Linked DNA regions of Cricetulus griseus. The protein of the gene in region 2 purifies or fractionates together with the protein of the main gene of each other region. This does not show direct contact. Links are inferred from orthologs where the notes say so. Each region holds a gene or a part of one and is shown on either strand. Other genes may lie near its edges.

Region 1 (5,286 bases), on a different chromosome or scaffold from region 2:
GACAGGGTTTCTCTGTGTAGCTTTGGAGCCTATCCTGGCACTCACTCTGGAGATCAGGCTGGCCTCAAACTCATAGAGATCTGCTTGCCTCTGCCTCCCGAGTGCTGGGATTAAAGGCGTGTGCCACCAACACCCTGCTCCAGAAAGTATTTTTTATAAAGCTAAGTACAAAATGTCACATCCAAGGGATTAGTTCTGTGATGTGACCAATTAAGGAAAAAGAGAGAGAAAATATGAACAAAATGAGCACTAAAAAGGGTTATAGAAATGGTAAAAAAATGTGTAGGATAATATCATGTTTGCCAATACATTTGAAAGAAAAATTATCAGAAGAATTGTTTTAAAAATAATAGTTTTCAAAAGCCTGCACAGGCTCAAGCCAGACCTCCCAGCACTGAGAGAAGGAAGGGGACATCAGCTCCCACTCCTAACCAAGAAGCTTTCCATAGCTGAGATCCAAGGCAAAAGAAAAATCAGTTTTCTACAATAGGGGTCTTACTGGGTTTATTAACTACACTTTCCCACAGGCCCCATGTCCAGGAGTGTCTGGCCAACACAAAACAAACTCAATAGTATTTTTGGAGATTTTTTTGTATCATTTCTGCTTTGTTTGGACTTTTGTTTGTTTTATTGGTATTTTGCTTGTTTATTTTGATTTCCATATTTGTGTGTGTGTTTTTTGGGTTTTTGTTTTTGCTTGTTTGAGAGGGGGGAGAGAGAGGGAGAGGGAGGGAGGGAGGCAGGCAGGGAGAGAGAGAGAGAGAGAGAGAGAGAGAGAGAGAGAGAGAGAGAGAGAGAGAGAGAGAGAGAAGAACACATGTTGGGTGAATAGAGAAGTGGAGAGGCTCTGGGAAGGATTGGGGGAGGGGAAACCATGATCAAAATACATTGTATGAAAAAAATGTTTTCAAGGAAAGATTACTTTTCAAAAAAAATTGCTTCAAACGAAACTTAAATGGTGTGGAAGAAAACAGCACAAAATTTGCAAATAGAAGACATTGGAAAAGGTTGTAAAGAATGACTTGCAAGCAGGAAAGCCAAGGTCTATATTTTGGATGTATTCCTTAGACGTTTCAAGGAACAGACCATGTTCACGAAACTCTTGTTAGAATATGGAGCGTTTTGGCATTTTTTTCTCACTTTACTTTCTGAAAGTAAACTTTAGTGTAGAAACTCATCACTGATAGGTTCTGTAAAATGAAAATATAGATGAATTTGTCTTATGAATATGAATGTGAAAATTCTCAGTAAATCACAAACATTTGCTTTCCAGTATGTATTTTCTTAATGTAAACTAGATACAAGATAATCAATTTGGACACACATTTTGCATACCCTCTTTGGATGTAACTTTCGAAAGCTGTTTGCAGGAAGCATATGAACAGCTGCTTTGTTTATAGATCTGGTTGCTCTGCCTGGATAGGGCTCCTTGGCTTACAACAACATTGTTTTCATTCTTTTCTGTTAGTTTGAGCTGTGAACTGAATTGTGAAGCCAAAATGATAGAAGAGAGGCGTCTAAGCATGTGGATTGAAGAGAAAAAGGAAATGTGTAGGCTTGGTTTGGTTTGATCAACCAATTTATTATTTTCATCTGAGAAATAACAAAATACGTTTTCTATTTATAAATCAGCTCAGTCACAGAAACACAGCAGCACCCTGATTTCTGCTAGGTCTTTTAAAAAAGCAGATCACTGCCTCATTAGAAATGCTAAAATATGACAGTTGTCTCTAATGTTACCAAAGACACTGAGTATTGTTTAACATTTATATTTTTTATTAAGTGCACCCTTAATAAAGCAAGATATATTTTTAATGATAAAGCATTTCCCTCAAGCCAAGAGCCAATGTCGTGGGTTTTTTTTTGGTTGTTGCTGTTGTTTTTTCATATTAACCACTAGGGAAATTCCCCTGAGATCAGAAATATAACAGTTGACTACTTTCTCCTCTGTTACGAAGCCCTGATCCACCAATTCTATCTAGTTGGTGTGGTGAGAAAACAAAAAGGAAGAAGCATGTCCAAGCATTCTTTTTGATCTAGAAATCACAGGTAAGTTATGTAATTTAGAAAAAACAAGATATCGATAAATGACCAGATAAAATTATGAAATCAAGATGTTACCAGTAGTTAAAACACACCTGAAAGAACATTCTCACTGGGATAATTCCCATGCTGTGTTCATAAAGGAGCAGACAAAGCAAACTGGCTTGGAATACATTCTACTATTTATATCTACAACGTGTAATGCAAAGGACCCCAGATGTTTACCAAAGCCTCAATATATAGCAAGAGAGGATGTTCACAGACGGGGAAGGTTTTTTACTGCACGGACAATCATTTCCCTTAATGTGACTGCACACATTTTCTAAAATTCCAACCAGAATTTTTCCCCAGGGGAATTTTAGTGATTTGTTTTGAGTCATCCTGGTGGCCATAGTTGAAAATGTTTAAGAGCTCTAGAACCCCCGCTGGCTTCTGGGCACACATTTAGGCACAATGAGTTCACATACAGTTCCACATCCCCCAGAGGCAGAGTAGTATGTTACCTATATCCTTACACATGCAACTGTACTCCTAGGGAGACCAAAGAGATGGCAGTGGAGACAGTTTCCAGGAATGATATGATCATTCTGTAACTTGGATAAAGTCATTTTCTCTTTTCCTCATTCTACTGCAGCTTGGGTAAAACATCCTAAGCATAGTTTGAATATTGTGAGAGGGCAGGACAGTGGTGGTAAAAAGCCAGGGAAAATGAACTGATGTGAGTTTATATTTAAGTCTTGTCTAACTATGTCACTGAATTACTACCACTGAAAATATTGGATCATTTTCCTCTAGCAGACACTTACTGTCTAAAAACTATCAATATGACAATACTGATAACAGTTCTTGATATTTAATCTAGGATTATCCTTACGAAAATATTATATAATCTTTAATATTAATGAAAATAAAGGGCTTGTTGGTAACAAAGTAAGACTTGATTACTATAATTAGAATTCCTTATAAAGCTAATAATTGATGTCATAAAATATTCATCATCATGTATTTCTTATGAGAATAAAAGTAAGTTAAGTTAATATTTGAATAGACACATTTGGTCATGCTGAAATTGATTTTTTAAAAGTATAAGCAAAAAGTATGACTACATATGCTTTTAATTTACTTCCACCTTAGTAAGCTAACTTAGGTCAAATATCTCTCAGTCTTATGGCATAAAAAAATCACTTCTTGAGAAGACTTACATATCAGATACAAACTTTTAAATTCATTTCAATTAAAGACATAAAAAATTCTATGTTAGGGGGAGGCTGGGCATTGGTGACACACACCTTTAATCCCAGCACTCGGGAGGCAGAGACAGGTGGATCTCTGTGAGTTCGAGGCCAGCCTGGTCTCCAGAACGAGTGCCAGGGTAGGCTCCAAAGCTACACAAAGAAACCCTGTCTCGAAGGAAAAAAAAAAAAGTTAGGGGGAAAGAAAAAGAGTCACAGTGTTTTAAAGTTTCCTTGGGTCTTGGCTTTTTTGAAGGCCAGATTTCTAACTGTGTCAGTGATGACCTAGGCACCACTGACTTGTGTCTGGAGCTGGTTAGCTGGCTGGTGCAGGAGTGGAACAGATCTTGCCATACTGAAGGCATCCCAACCACCTTGCTATGCTAAGAATTAATAGGAATTAGGAAGATTTGATTACCTCGTTTCCAGGTTACACGACTCCCTTCATAGACTACTTTTCTTTAAAGATGTAGGCAGGTACACGTTCTGGAAGCTGTTTTCACAGGCTCTGCAATGCTGCCCAAACTGTCCTGAGCTCTCCCTTGTGTTGAACTGGGGACTTCCACTAAAAATCCCCTGACTTGAAGACTTCCTTATTTGTAGCTATCAACAGCCAATCATGGCAAGATATTGAAATGAAGCAAAAACTACCAGAAAATATTCTGAAACCACCCGTGACTATAACTCTGGCTTCCTTTTGAAGCAATGATATTTTACCTGAATAGTTAAGGCATTAAAAAAAATTAGAAACTACAAACATGAATTTTTTTGGAAGAAGTATTTTCCATGTAAAAAGTTTTAAAAGTCAGCTTATTTGAAAATGCCATTTAGTCTTTGAGCCACATTTGACCCCAAACCATTGTATTTATAAGTAACAGGCAAAACTCATATTTGAGTATAATCTGAGTATATTTTTCTTTGCTTTCTGACTTACAGAGGTCACTTGGATGAAACCTAGTGAAAAAATAAGGTATGGCTTCAGATTCCAGAGTTTGAATATAAACCGTGGTAAGAAAGGTGAAGCAAAGAAGACTCTTCAGACAGAATTTCTAGTTTGAGACATAAGTCTCTGGTTACATAGATGAGCATATGTTCCAACACACCAGGGGAATTTCTCTCAGGCCACGTGGAACTAAGCTGTTAGTTTTACAAGGAAACGGAAGGCAGCAGTATTTGGACATTTTTCATTGTTATAAAATGTTAGAGTTGGAAATTTAGACAGCTTCTGTTCCATTTCCCTTTTCTTACAGATGAGTAAACAGGGGAGGTAAATGTTCAATGTCACAAAGTTAGAAGCAACAGTCGCTCTAAGTGACCTGAATTTAAGTGCAATGTCATATTTACTGCATTATGCTCTCCCATGGGAAGTCCAGGAGCTGGAACAAGGCTGGATCTAGTGGGAAGTTGCCCTGCTGAGTTAGGAAGTCTGTGGAGGCATCCCCCAGAATTCCAGTTAATAGAAACTAAAATTTACACTTTCTGATTTGTAGTCTAGTTTCTTTGCTACTTTAAAGCCCTACCATCTCATTACATATTACAAGCATGTTGGATGTAATGTTGCATATGGTGGAATTATCCTCTAAAAATATGTTTTTGAAGTTTCTAAAGTGCCGATTAAGAGTGTGTTTAAAACTGTTCTATTTACCCATTAAATGCACAGTGAAGCATTTCTTTCACATTATGTCCTTATAACAATCTTACTCATGAAATATCAGATGTTAAACATGCTTTTGTCCAATGGAAAACTAGAATCTAACTGTAAATACAACAAAGTGAAATATCAAAAACTTAAGATAGTATTGGTGTGAGGAAATTTATTCCTTATGAATTTACAGTTATGAAGCAAGCTTTTAAAAGCTTTTTTGGGAAAGTGGTGCTTCCATATTGACTTGGAAATACTCCAATTTTTTGTTGTCTCCATCCTGTAACCCTCTCTCTATTATTTACTTTGGCCATTGGGTTTGGCTGAGACCCAAACTTCTGGAAACTGGCTATTCCCAGTATATTGGCC
Region 2 (4,869 bases):
AGTGAAGTCGTCACCCAATACTTTATTTGTAAAGCATACACAGTTTGTTAGCTAAAGGAATTCTCATGAATCACATTATTAGAAATACTTTAATAATTTGTTTCATGAATTCATTTTTTTAGCCTAAGAACAAATGAGGGCTTATAAAGTCTTATAAAAGTTACTTTTAAATCAGGATAGAAAACACACTGTGAAGATGGTGACTCCCATGCATTGGCTGATAGCTCAGAGACAAGCTGAAGCCAATAAGCTACATGTAAGATGTCAGAAATGCTTGGAATTTGGACATTGGATGTATGAATGCAAAGGAAAAAGAAAGTACCTCCACAGGCCTTCAAGAACAGCAGAGCTGAAGAAAGCTTTAAAAGAAACTAGATTGTTGCAGCAAAGCATGGGAGAGACTAATATAGAGAGAAAAGCCAAGAAGAGGTCTAAAAGTGTCACGAGTTCCAGTACCTCTAGCAGTGACAGTTTTGCCAGTGAGTCTTCATCAGAGAGCCAGACATCTGCCTCATCCTCCTCAGAAGACAGTGACTTGGATGACAGGTCTCTAGCTCCTCCTCTTCCTCCTCCTCCTCTTCGGACTCAGACTCAGACTCCAGCCACCTCCAGCAGCAGCAGTCGCAGTACAGAGTAGCTCAGATGATGAGCCACCAAAGAAAAAGAAATACAACTCCCTCCACCGGACTAATGGACCAAAAACATCAGTGTGATTCACAGGGGAATTGAAAACATCAGACCTTTCTAAATATTCGCCATTGTACAGAATATTAATAAAAGTTATATATATATGCACACACACACACACACACACACACACACACACACACACACACATATATATTGCACATTTATTTTAGGAATGAATATTGTGTTCTTGCTGTTTTTCTTTTTTTAAAGTTGGGGTCTCGATTTGTAGGCCAGGCTGGCCTGGAACTCACTATGTAGAGGAAAGCCGGCCTTGATTTCACAGAGATCTACCTGCTTTTGCTTCTTCTAATGCAGGGATTAGAGATATGTGCCACCATGCTCAGCTTTTGTTGATTTTTTTTTTTTTGTATTTCAAGTGTATCTGTAGAATATAATCAAAGCTGAAAACCAGGAAATCTGTTTCAATGATGTCATTTTTTCTGCCTATGAAATGAATGCCTTATGTGGATATGTGTTAAGGACAGGCTTTGAAGATACTGCATCAGAATATCAAGTAAGGAGTTGCTCTCTTTTGCTGTGTTTACTATGTGAGATTTGATACATTGTTACTTACTGTAAGTGTGGCTTTCCTACTCTTAATAAATGTGCTCTATTTTTATGTTTGTGCTCAGAAAAAAAAAAAAGAAAACACACTGTGATGATGCAAGCCTTTAAAAAACACTTTATTAATATGTTTCTCACAACTAGGGGAATCTTATTTACCAAGTAACAGAAAAATCCTTATTTTCCAGAAGGAAAAAGCACCAAGAAGCATGGCGCACCCTAACTGCTGAGTGCCAGGACTACTGGTTTCCAGAGTCTCTGAGCTCTACATCACCTGAACCTAAAGTTTTCAGAAATTCCAAATCCAGTGACTCCTGAATGACACACAGCAAACACTACTACTCCTTATACATACACACTCCCTTAGCTTATCAGCATAGACATTCCCTTTCAACTAAACAGATCAAGATTAAATACACAATACCACCTTTCATGAAGCAAGATGAGTAATTCTGAAGAAGAGCAAACATGAATGTACTGGTTGAATCAGTAATCCATTCTTTGTTCAGATGGCTTCTGGTGTCCAATAATACTTTAAAACCATTCTTCATTTATGAGAGAAAAGTACGTACAGTCCCCTTGATTGTACCCCGGCAGATGGGGCACTTTCTCAGAGAAGGGGCACATTCCTGGCAGACTACCAAATGACCACAGGGAATGAACACAATAGAAACCTCTCTGTCCATACACACTTTGCAAGTTCGTTCCTCTTGCAACCTCCGCAACTGCTCTTCCAGCGACAAGCCTAAGAAAGAACAAAAAAGAACATTAGTAAAATGCAACTTCTAAAAAGTAACAGAAATAATGTTGAAGTACTAACTGTACTTTACCTGAAACATCTTCTGTTGGAATATACTTCATATTCTTTTCCACTGAAAAAAGAAAGCATACAAAAATCATTCATTTTTTCAAATCTACTGTTTTTATATAGATTTTTGCTACATATTACAAAGAATACTACCTAGACAGTAAAATACACCAGTATTTTTGGAACAGGTAAAATGTAAAGATTACAGTTTTAACTGGATTTATTCTGCTTGCTCAACAGAGAGATGAACAAAACCCTACTGGTAACTAAATAATTTCCCTAACAAACTCACCAAATAAGTTTTCATATAATGTGGAGTCGATTTCCTTTAGACAGTTTTTGAAGATGTTGGCTGCAGCATTTCCTTTGACTAAAACGGTGTCAATCAGCTCTCTTGCTTGTAAGGGTATCTGTGTTTTCTGTCTAATAATATCATGTTCCTGTTTAGTAATTACACTGGCCTCAAGAAGATTATCCAGGATAGGAAGGACACAGGTCAACTGCTGAAAGAGAGCCATTCTATTCTTCCGTATTAATGACAAGTCACCTTCAGTTAAAAACAAGCAAGGAAAAAGTTCCGTTAAATGTCAAAGGCCCCAAGTATACCCAATGACCCCTATGCACAAATTAGGCACTAAATGGAGCTTGAAGGGGAAGGAAAATGACTTGTTTGCACCTCCATACTGCCATCATAAACTTCCACATTAAATTCAGATGTCCCACACAGCACAAATACTTTCAAGTCTAAATGCTAATGGACCTGGACCCATGTCTGTAAATTGTTGAGAACAAGCAGAAAACTTTAGAGAGTAGTAAAACATGTGCCCTCTTTTTCTTTCTCTTTCCCCACAATGGAGTTAAAAAGTAATTTATTTTTATCTGTATTATATCTCTTTATTGGTTATAAGTACAGGCACACAAACTGTCACATTCAAAATGTCAGTTAAATAAGCCAACTATCTTCCAGAGAGGGAGCCTTAGAACAGCATGAGTGGCTTGTCAAAGACCACAAAATGAGTTGCCAAACCAGTCCTAAACTAGTTGAGTTTTTTGGTTTGTTATTTACTGAGACAGGACCTTATGTATCCAGGCTCCAAATGGAGCCAAGGATAGCCCTGATCCTCATGAGTATCTTCTAGGTATTGGGATTACAGGCATGAACCATCAAGCCTGGTTTACACAGTGCTGATGTCCTTTCTGAGACTCCACACCATCTATGAACTACAGCACTCAAGAGCTTAAGCGACAAGTCAAGATGGACTTTGCTGGCCCAAAGGCAAGTCTAGACACTTCAGCCATGTCCCCCTGCTATACACCTCAGCTTTCCAATCTGAAATATGAGTAACAACACCTTCCTTACAGAGTTCAATAAAATGCATTTTATTACCTTACATTACCTGGTGCATCTTGTAAATCTAAATTTATAGTGCAGCTTTAAAAATTGAATCTAGCTTGTTCATAACAGATAACCTCACTTCAGAGGTAAGAAACCTTAAGTTTAGTTGAATGAGCTGCCTACCTGCTAACCAAAAAAATGCCAGAACTTAAATGTAAATGTGTATCAATCCAGAAGTTAGAATTTTAAACATTTTGATATATGGTCATACAATAAGGCTGTCCTGAACTAGTTAGTCCTTAAAAAAAAATCATTTTCTTCCTTGGGGGGTGGGGGGTGGGGGATGGGATGCCACCGTGTGGGTCCTGGGCATCAAACTCAGCCATCAGGCTTGGTAGCAAGTACCTCATTGGCCTGAACTATTTCTACCTTTATTTAAGGACAAAAGTGTTTTCTAACCTAATACCTCAATTTACATTACACATACAACCTTCACGTCTCTGACAGCTTTTAAGTTTTTTGTACCGTGTGTGTGTGTGTGTGTGTGTGTGTGTGTGTGTGTGTGTGAGAGAGAGAGAGAGAGAGAGAGAGAGAGAGAGAGAGAGATTCAGTACCATGATGTGCATATAGCCATCAGAGGACAACCTGCAGGAGCTGGTTCTCTCCTCCTACTGTGTGCATCTCAGGTACTGAACTAAGGTTATGAGGGTGGACAGCAAGCACCCTTTTCCACTTAGCTGTCTTGCAGGCCCTCTGCTAGCTCTCTGATTCTGTCTTTTGAACCAAGTTTCCCCAGCTTTTACATGTTCCTTGAGAACAATCATCACTTTCACATTATTTACCTCTGCTGTTTACATATTTAAACATATGAAAATATTTGTTGAAAATGTAATTACTCAGAAGACATGTTCTGGGAGGTTAAGATGTTAAAAAAAAAAAAGTACACAAATATCAAAATCATTATATACTGTCCATGGGCTGGACAAAGGATCACAGCCCAGGATCATCTTAAGTTGACTTTTTGGTATAAGGATAACCTAACAAGTAAATACCTACTAATAAAATACCATATTAGAAACCAGATTTAAAGGAACTTTATTTAAAAAGTAGAAATATCTCAATCTTTTAAAGAGAGATTCCTGCTATGTAGCCTAGGCTGACCCTGAGCTCAGCACACTCCTGCTTCACTCTCCTGAATGCTAGGGTTGTAGGAATGAGTCATGTTCCACTACAATCAGCTCTCAATCAGTTTTAAATCTTGCTTTAAAGAAAAAGTATCCATTTGTATGTGTACGTGTATGTGTAGGAGCTGAGTGTCTGTGTGTGCACCAGGTGCACGCAAAGGTCACAAGAGGGTGTCAGATACACTGGGACTGGGGTTTAGGACATTGGACTCCACATGGATGATGGGAACCAAACCCAGGCTCTTTGCAAGGACTGCAAAAGCTCTTAGCCACTGAGACATCTCTCC
Region 3 (5,296 bases), on a different chromosome or scaffold from region 2:
CCACAGAGACCAGCGGTCTTTGAACTTGCAGCGTAAGAGGTTGTACTACGTCCTGGATAGAAAATGGCCACGAACTAAGAAAGAGAGAGTAGGATCGGACAGAGTCCAGCAGAGCTCGGCCAACAACACAAACCTGACTTAAACAGGAAGCTGTCCAACTACATGAGCAAATAATCAAGGAATTAAGAATTTAGGGGACAGAACTAAAAGTGGACAGACAGGAAATGAACTGGAGCAGGTTCACCCAGGAGCTTGACACAGTCCACTAAACTGGAGTCAGAGATCTGTGCTTACCCACCTGAAACGCAGCAGCCCCTCTCTGCCATTGGTAGCCTCTTCCTCAGGGAAGAGCAGCAAAGGTGTGGGCGGAAGCCTTGTGGAAGCACAGAATTTCTTGAGTGACTCCACCAACTCCACCCGCCTATCCATCTCCATGAAGCCCCGAGACCAGCACACAAAGCTGGGGGGGCTATTGAGTAGAGGCTGAGAGCAGGGAGGAGAGAGAGCAAGGAGAGAACGGGGGGGGGGGGGGATGTCAAACAGGAAAGAAGAAAAAAGGTAACACGTGGGGTGGTGCTTATGGGGTGAGGGAAAAGATCGGTGTTCCCCAAGAGAACCCTAATGGGTAGAGGTGAGCACTGAGCTCGGGCCTGGGGAGCCACCCGGTGGCGCTCTCGGCCTCGCCCCCACTCACGGTGCTACAGGTGGTGAGCAGGTTGACTATGTTGTGGTCAAAAGGTGTGACATGGTTGGAAATAAGGACCCTGACGCGGTGATCCCGGAGTCCGGAGTCCTCCTGCCGGGCCACGAGCCCCAGCACTGCACACATGGTCCGCACCACGAACCTGGGGACACAGGCGGCAGTGACTGTGCGGTCTTGACCCAGGCCCAGCCCCGATGCTCCCGGGGCACCGCAGTCCGCACCTGCGGAGGACGCTGTCGGGCAGAGCACAGCTGACCAGGAAGACGTGGAGCCCTAGGAAGAGGCGCAGAACCAGGAGACACAGGCCGACCGGAGCGTAGAGCAGCAGCGCGAGCAGCAGGAAGCCGTCGCTCGGGAGCCTGCGGCGAGAGGCGACGCGATCAGGCGCCGAAGCCGAGAGAACGCGCTGACCGGCCTCTTCCCTCCGCAGCGCTTACCGGTGCGAGTCAAAGAGCCGCTCCGGCCCCGGAGCTGGAGGAGGTTCCATCGCAGCCGCCTCAGGAAAGCAGGGCCGGTGTCGCCGCCATCTTCGCAGGGCCGCGGGGACTCCTGGGAAGGCGGAGTCTTTGGGCATCCGCGGGGGATGCCAGAACCGGAGGTCCAGAGGCGCCCCGGAAGGGCAAGCGCTCCCAGCATGCCTTGCGGCCCCCGGGAGGCGTAAAGTCTGCGTGTATGTGTTCGCCCCGGACAACGCGTCCTGAAAGAACTACAATTCCCGGCATGCACCGGACAGATACCGGCGTGCCTCGCTTCTCCCAGTCGGCTTGCTGGGCTTCAGGGCACCGCCTCTGAGTAGGGCGGGCAAGGAGAGAGCCGAGGCGGAGCTGATGGCTGCGCTGAAGGCGGGGCGGGGTGCAGGCTGGAGCCTTCGGGCTTGGCGGGCTTTGGGGGGCATCTTCTGGGGGAAGGGCCCCCTTTTTACCCCTGACCTTCAGGCTCTGCTGACGTTAGGAAGTCCCGACCCTCTCCCGGCCCGGGTGCCTGTGGGGGTCCTTGCATCACGGGCATGTCTGACGTCTGGGACCCCAGATCTCTGGGCACGGCTGGCCGTGGGGACTGCAGGCTCCAGTGCCCAGGAGGCCCGCAGGAGCCCCGGCCCCCGTCGGCGCGAATGGCTGGCGGTGGCGGTGGGCGCAGGGGGAGCAATGTTGCTGCTGTTGTGGGGCTGGGGGCGGGGTCCTCCCGCGGTGCTGGCCGCTGTCCCCGCTCCGCCGCCCAGCTCTCCCCGGAGCCAGTACAATTTCATCGCAGATGTGGTGGAGAAGACAGCCCCAGCCGTGGTCTATATCGAAATCCTGGATCGGTAATGGTGAAGTTGACCGGGAGGTGTTGAAACCAACTGCCCTAAGGCAAGTGAGCAGGATGGGGTGGAAAGCAGAAGTGTAACCGGTGCTTTCCCCCATCCCAGGCACCCTTTCTCAGGCCGCGAAGTCCCCATCTCAAACGGCTCAGGATTCGTAGTGGCTTCAGATGGGCTCATCGTTACCAACGCCCACGTGGTGGCTGACCGGCGCCGAGTGCGAGTGCGGCTGCCTAGTGGAGACACATACGAGGCCGTGGTTACAGCTGTGGATCCTGTAGCGGACATTGCCACGTTGAGGATTCAGACCAAGGTGGGAATGGAGTAGGCCGGATCTGATGGCAGCTGTTTACTTGCTCCCGTCTTAAAATGACCAGTTTTGGCGTACTCGTTTCCCTTAAGGAGCCTCTTCCCACACTGCCCCTCGGCCGCTCTGCTGATGTCCGGCAAGGGGAGTTTGTTGTTGCCATGGGAAGTCCCTTTGCACTGCAGAACACGATCACATCTGGTATTGTCAGCTCTGCTCAGCGTCCAGCCAGGGACCTCGGACTCCCTCAAAACAACGTGGAATACATTCAGACCGATGCAGCTATTGATGTGCGTCCTGATATGAGAGAAGTTTGGAGCTGGGTGGGAGCTGGGGAGAATGGCTGTCTGTCTGGTGTGTGCACCAACTCCAATGTAGCTGGGCCTATATTAGACGTTGGACTGCAAAATGCAGCCACTCTAGTTCATGGGCTGGGAACAGAATCTGAAGAATTTCCCTATACCCTGGTTATGCCTACAGTGAGAGAATTCCCAGAGGCATAGAATTCCAGATCTCTTTGATGTTTTCTTTCATCTTATCCCACAGTTTGGAAATTCTGGAGGCCCCCTAGTTAACCTGGTGAGTGCCATGCTCTTCTAAGAATCCATACGCCAGGTCAGTGTGGGAAGGTTGGGTGTTTCTAACATTCAAGGACTTTTAGTTAAGTTTCTGTAGTTTCTTGTTTATCTCCTCGTATCCAATCAGACCCCTGCCCCCAAATCTTTGCTACTCTGCCATCTGTGTGGGCTAGGGGACAGAGGGCTGTGTCCCTGCAGGATGGGGAGGTGATTGGAGTGAACACCATGAAGGTGACAGCTGGAATCTCCTTTGCCATCCCTTCTGATCGCCTTAGGGAGTTTCTGCACCGCGGGGAGAAGAAAAGTGAGCCTTTCTTACTTATGATGGGACATAGGGGAGGGGCGGTTCATTGGGACTTGCTGGAGAGGGCTTTACTGGCAGGAGGTAAGGGAAAGAAGGATGTAGCTGGGTGGGCTCATTTGCCCTCTTTTTACAGATTCCTGGTTTGGAATCAGTGGGTCCCAGCGCCGCTACATTGGAGTGATGATGCTGACTCTGACTCCCAGGTATATTAGGGATCATGATATGTAGGACCACAAGTGTGTCTGTGCCTTACAGGTGGATTCTGTTATGGGTTTTGTTTTCATGTCTGTCTATCTACGGTGAGTTGTTGTCACAAGAGCTGTTCCCTCTCATCATAACTTTTTCATCCTATTGCATCTTGTACCTTTTTACTAGATTGATTGCGTCATGTTACTGCTGTGATTTAGAGACTTCATTGATCTAGCATTAAAAGAGCTATTTCTATTTCCAACTCTCTCTGATTACCTTGAAGACTTGCCTTGTTGCTTCTTCTGGATTACTTTGATTTTCCATACCTGTGTGTTGTCCCCCCCCCTCCTCCCCACCCCTGTCCCCCTGCCACCCCCAGGATAGGGTTTCTCTGTGAAGCCTTAGCTGTCTTGAAATTTGCTCTGTAGACCAGGCTGGACTTGAAATCACAGAGATCTGCCTGCCTCTGTCTCCTGAGTGTTGGGATTAAAGCCCACCACCACCCAGCTCACTTCTATGTCTTAATACCTTCTTATTTCATATGGTTAATAGGACCCATCCTTTTAGGCTCAGCTTAAGTTCTACCCCTTCCTTAAAGTAGAATGACAGACATGTAGTTTAACACTGTATCATTTGGAATTAGCTATCTTTCATGTGTTTTTCCCACTTCCTAAGCGCTAGAAGGCCAAAAAAGTGAACTGTCAGGATGAGAGAGGGCCTGGGTATACCTAACAGGGTGGTCTGTGCCCTTTCAGCATCCTTGTTGAACTACAGCTCCGAGAACCAAGCTTCCCTGATGTTCAGCATGGTGTCCTCATCCATAAAGTTATCCTGGGCTCCCCTGCACACAGGTGATGGAAAGCCTGCTCTGTGAGGTGGGGTGGAATGGGGTGCATGTATCCTTGAACGCAGCTGTGTACTCCTTCCTTGCCATGTTCATCCTCCACAGGGCTGGTCTTCGGCCTGGTGATGTGATTTTGGCCATTGGAGAGAAAATGGTACAAAATGCTGAAGATGTTTATGAGGCTGTTCGAACCCAATCACAGCTGGCAGTGCGGATCCGGCGGGGATCAGAAACACTGACCTTATATGTGACCCCTGAGGTCACCGAATGACTGGACTAGCAAGAGTGTGAACCCTCTGCTCTGATTTCCTCCTCGCCTTCCTAGCCTAGGTTCTGAGTGCACTGGGTGGAGGAGTCAATGGACCTGTAGAGGGCAGGTCCCTCTAACCACCAGCACCAACCCTGGGCTCTGAAGAACACATTTTATATAAAATAAAATTATACCTAGCAACATGTTTCAGTCATAAATGGGGGCTGGATCTTTTCCCCCACCAAAAGGCTAGAGGTAAAGCGGTACTTAGGAGAGCTGTGGGAGCTGACCTTCCTGACCTCCCTGTTCAAGGAATGAGCTGCTGCTGCCTTTCTGCTGGGACAGTTCTGTGTGGTGTGTTCTGTCTGTTGGCTGATTCTCCATGCTTGGCCAAAGGTACTGACAGCTGACCCAGTAGGGGAGGCACCAACTTCTGCTCAACTGTTTGTCATCCGTAGTGCACAGGTGGATGAGTGTAGTGGGCCTGCTGACATCAGGGGTTCTTGTGGTAAGCTCCTGAGGTAATGGCAGCCTCAGACCCCTGCCATTGGGGGGCCAGTGGTGGTTTGCTGAAAGGGTGGTGGTATTTCAGACAATCTGGTTGCTGGTCTGGCCAGGGTAGCGCTCAAACCTCCTGTTGGCTTCTTCACTGAAGGCATCACCTGCAGAGTAGACAGGCACTGTGAGGGGCTCCCTGCAGAGGCAGGGACACATCCCACACATAGGGAATTGTGGGGAGATGCAGAAACCACTTGGGGAATGAAAGCTTTGTCCTCCTATCCTCAGTGACCCTTCCCGTCACTTACCAATGTGGCAGTTGT

Evidence for each region. Proteins that work in one complex are often made in the same cells at the same time.
Region 1: the proteins of Birc2 (region 2) and Tank purify together in Homo sapiens (affinity purification with mass spectrometry; 4 studies listed by BioGRID and IntAct, with this or other methods). This does not show direct contact. The link is inferred for Cricetulus griseus from reciprocal best matches to the Homo sapiens genes BIRC2 and TANK.
Region 3: the proteins of Birc2 (region 2) and Htra2 purify together in Homo sapiens (affinity purification with mass spectrometry; 4 studies listed by BioGRID and IntAct, counting the BioPlex papers as one, with this or other methods). This does not show direct contact. The link is inferred for Cricetulus griseus from reciprocal best matches to the Homo sapiens genes BIRC2 and HTRA2.

What each region holds. Positions count from the first base shown.
Region 1 is NC_048599.1:113,304,386-113,309,671, forward strand, and holds the start of Tank (TRAF family member-associated NF-kappa-B activator), read right to left. Parts: upstream 3,806-5,286; 5' UTR 3,694-3,805; intron 1-3,693.
Region 2 is NC_048597.1:122,199,436-122,204,304, forward strand, and holds the end of Birc2 (baculoviral IAP repeat-containing protein 2), read right to left. Parts: intron 2,610-4,869; coding exon 2,355-2,609; intron 2,127-2,354; coding exon 2,085-2,126; intron 2,000-2,084; coding exon 1,806-1,999; 3' UTR 1,347-1,805; downstream 1-1,346. UniProt on the Homo sapiens protein: Multi-functional protein which regulates not only caspases and apoptosis, but also modulates inflammatory signaling and immunity, mitogenic kinase signaling, and cell proliferation, as well as cell invasion and metastasis.
Region 3 is NC_048601.1:74,224,820-74,230,115, reverse strand, and holds Htra2 (serine protease HTRA2, mitochondrial), read left to right. Parts: upstream 1-1,491; 5' UTR 1,492-1,530; coding exon 1,531-2,006; intron 2,007-2,111; coding exon 2,112-2,316; intron 2,317-2,405; coding exon 2,406-2,600; intron 2,601-2,856; coding exon 2,857-2,889; intron 2,890-3,086; coding exon 3,087-3,192; intron 3,193-3,325; coding exon 3,326-3,395; intron 3,396-4,136; coding exon 4,137-4,232; intron 4,233-4,330; coding exon 4,331-4,496; 3' UTR 4,497-4,676; downstream 4,677-5,296. Other genes in the region: Aup1 (ancient ubiquitous protein 1), read right to left, coding at 2-74, 299-483, 695-845, 925-1,062, 1,141-1,277; Loxl3 (lysyl oxidase homolog 3), read right to left, coding at 5,064-5,137, 5,282-5,296.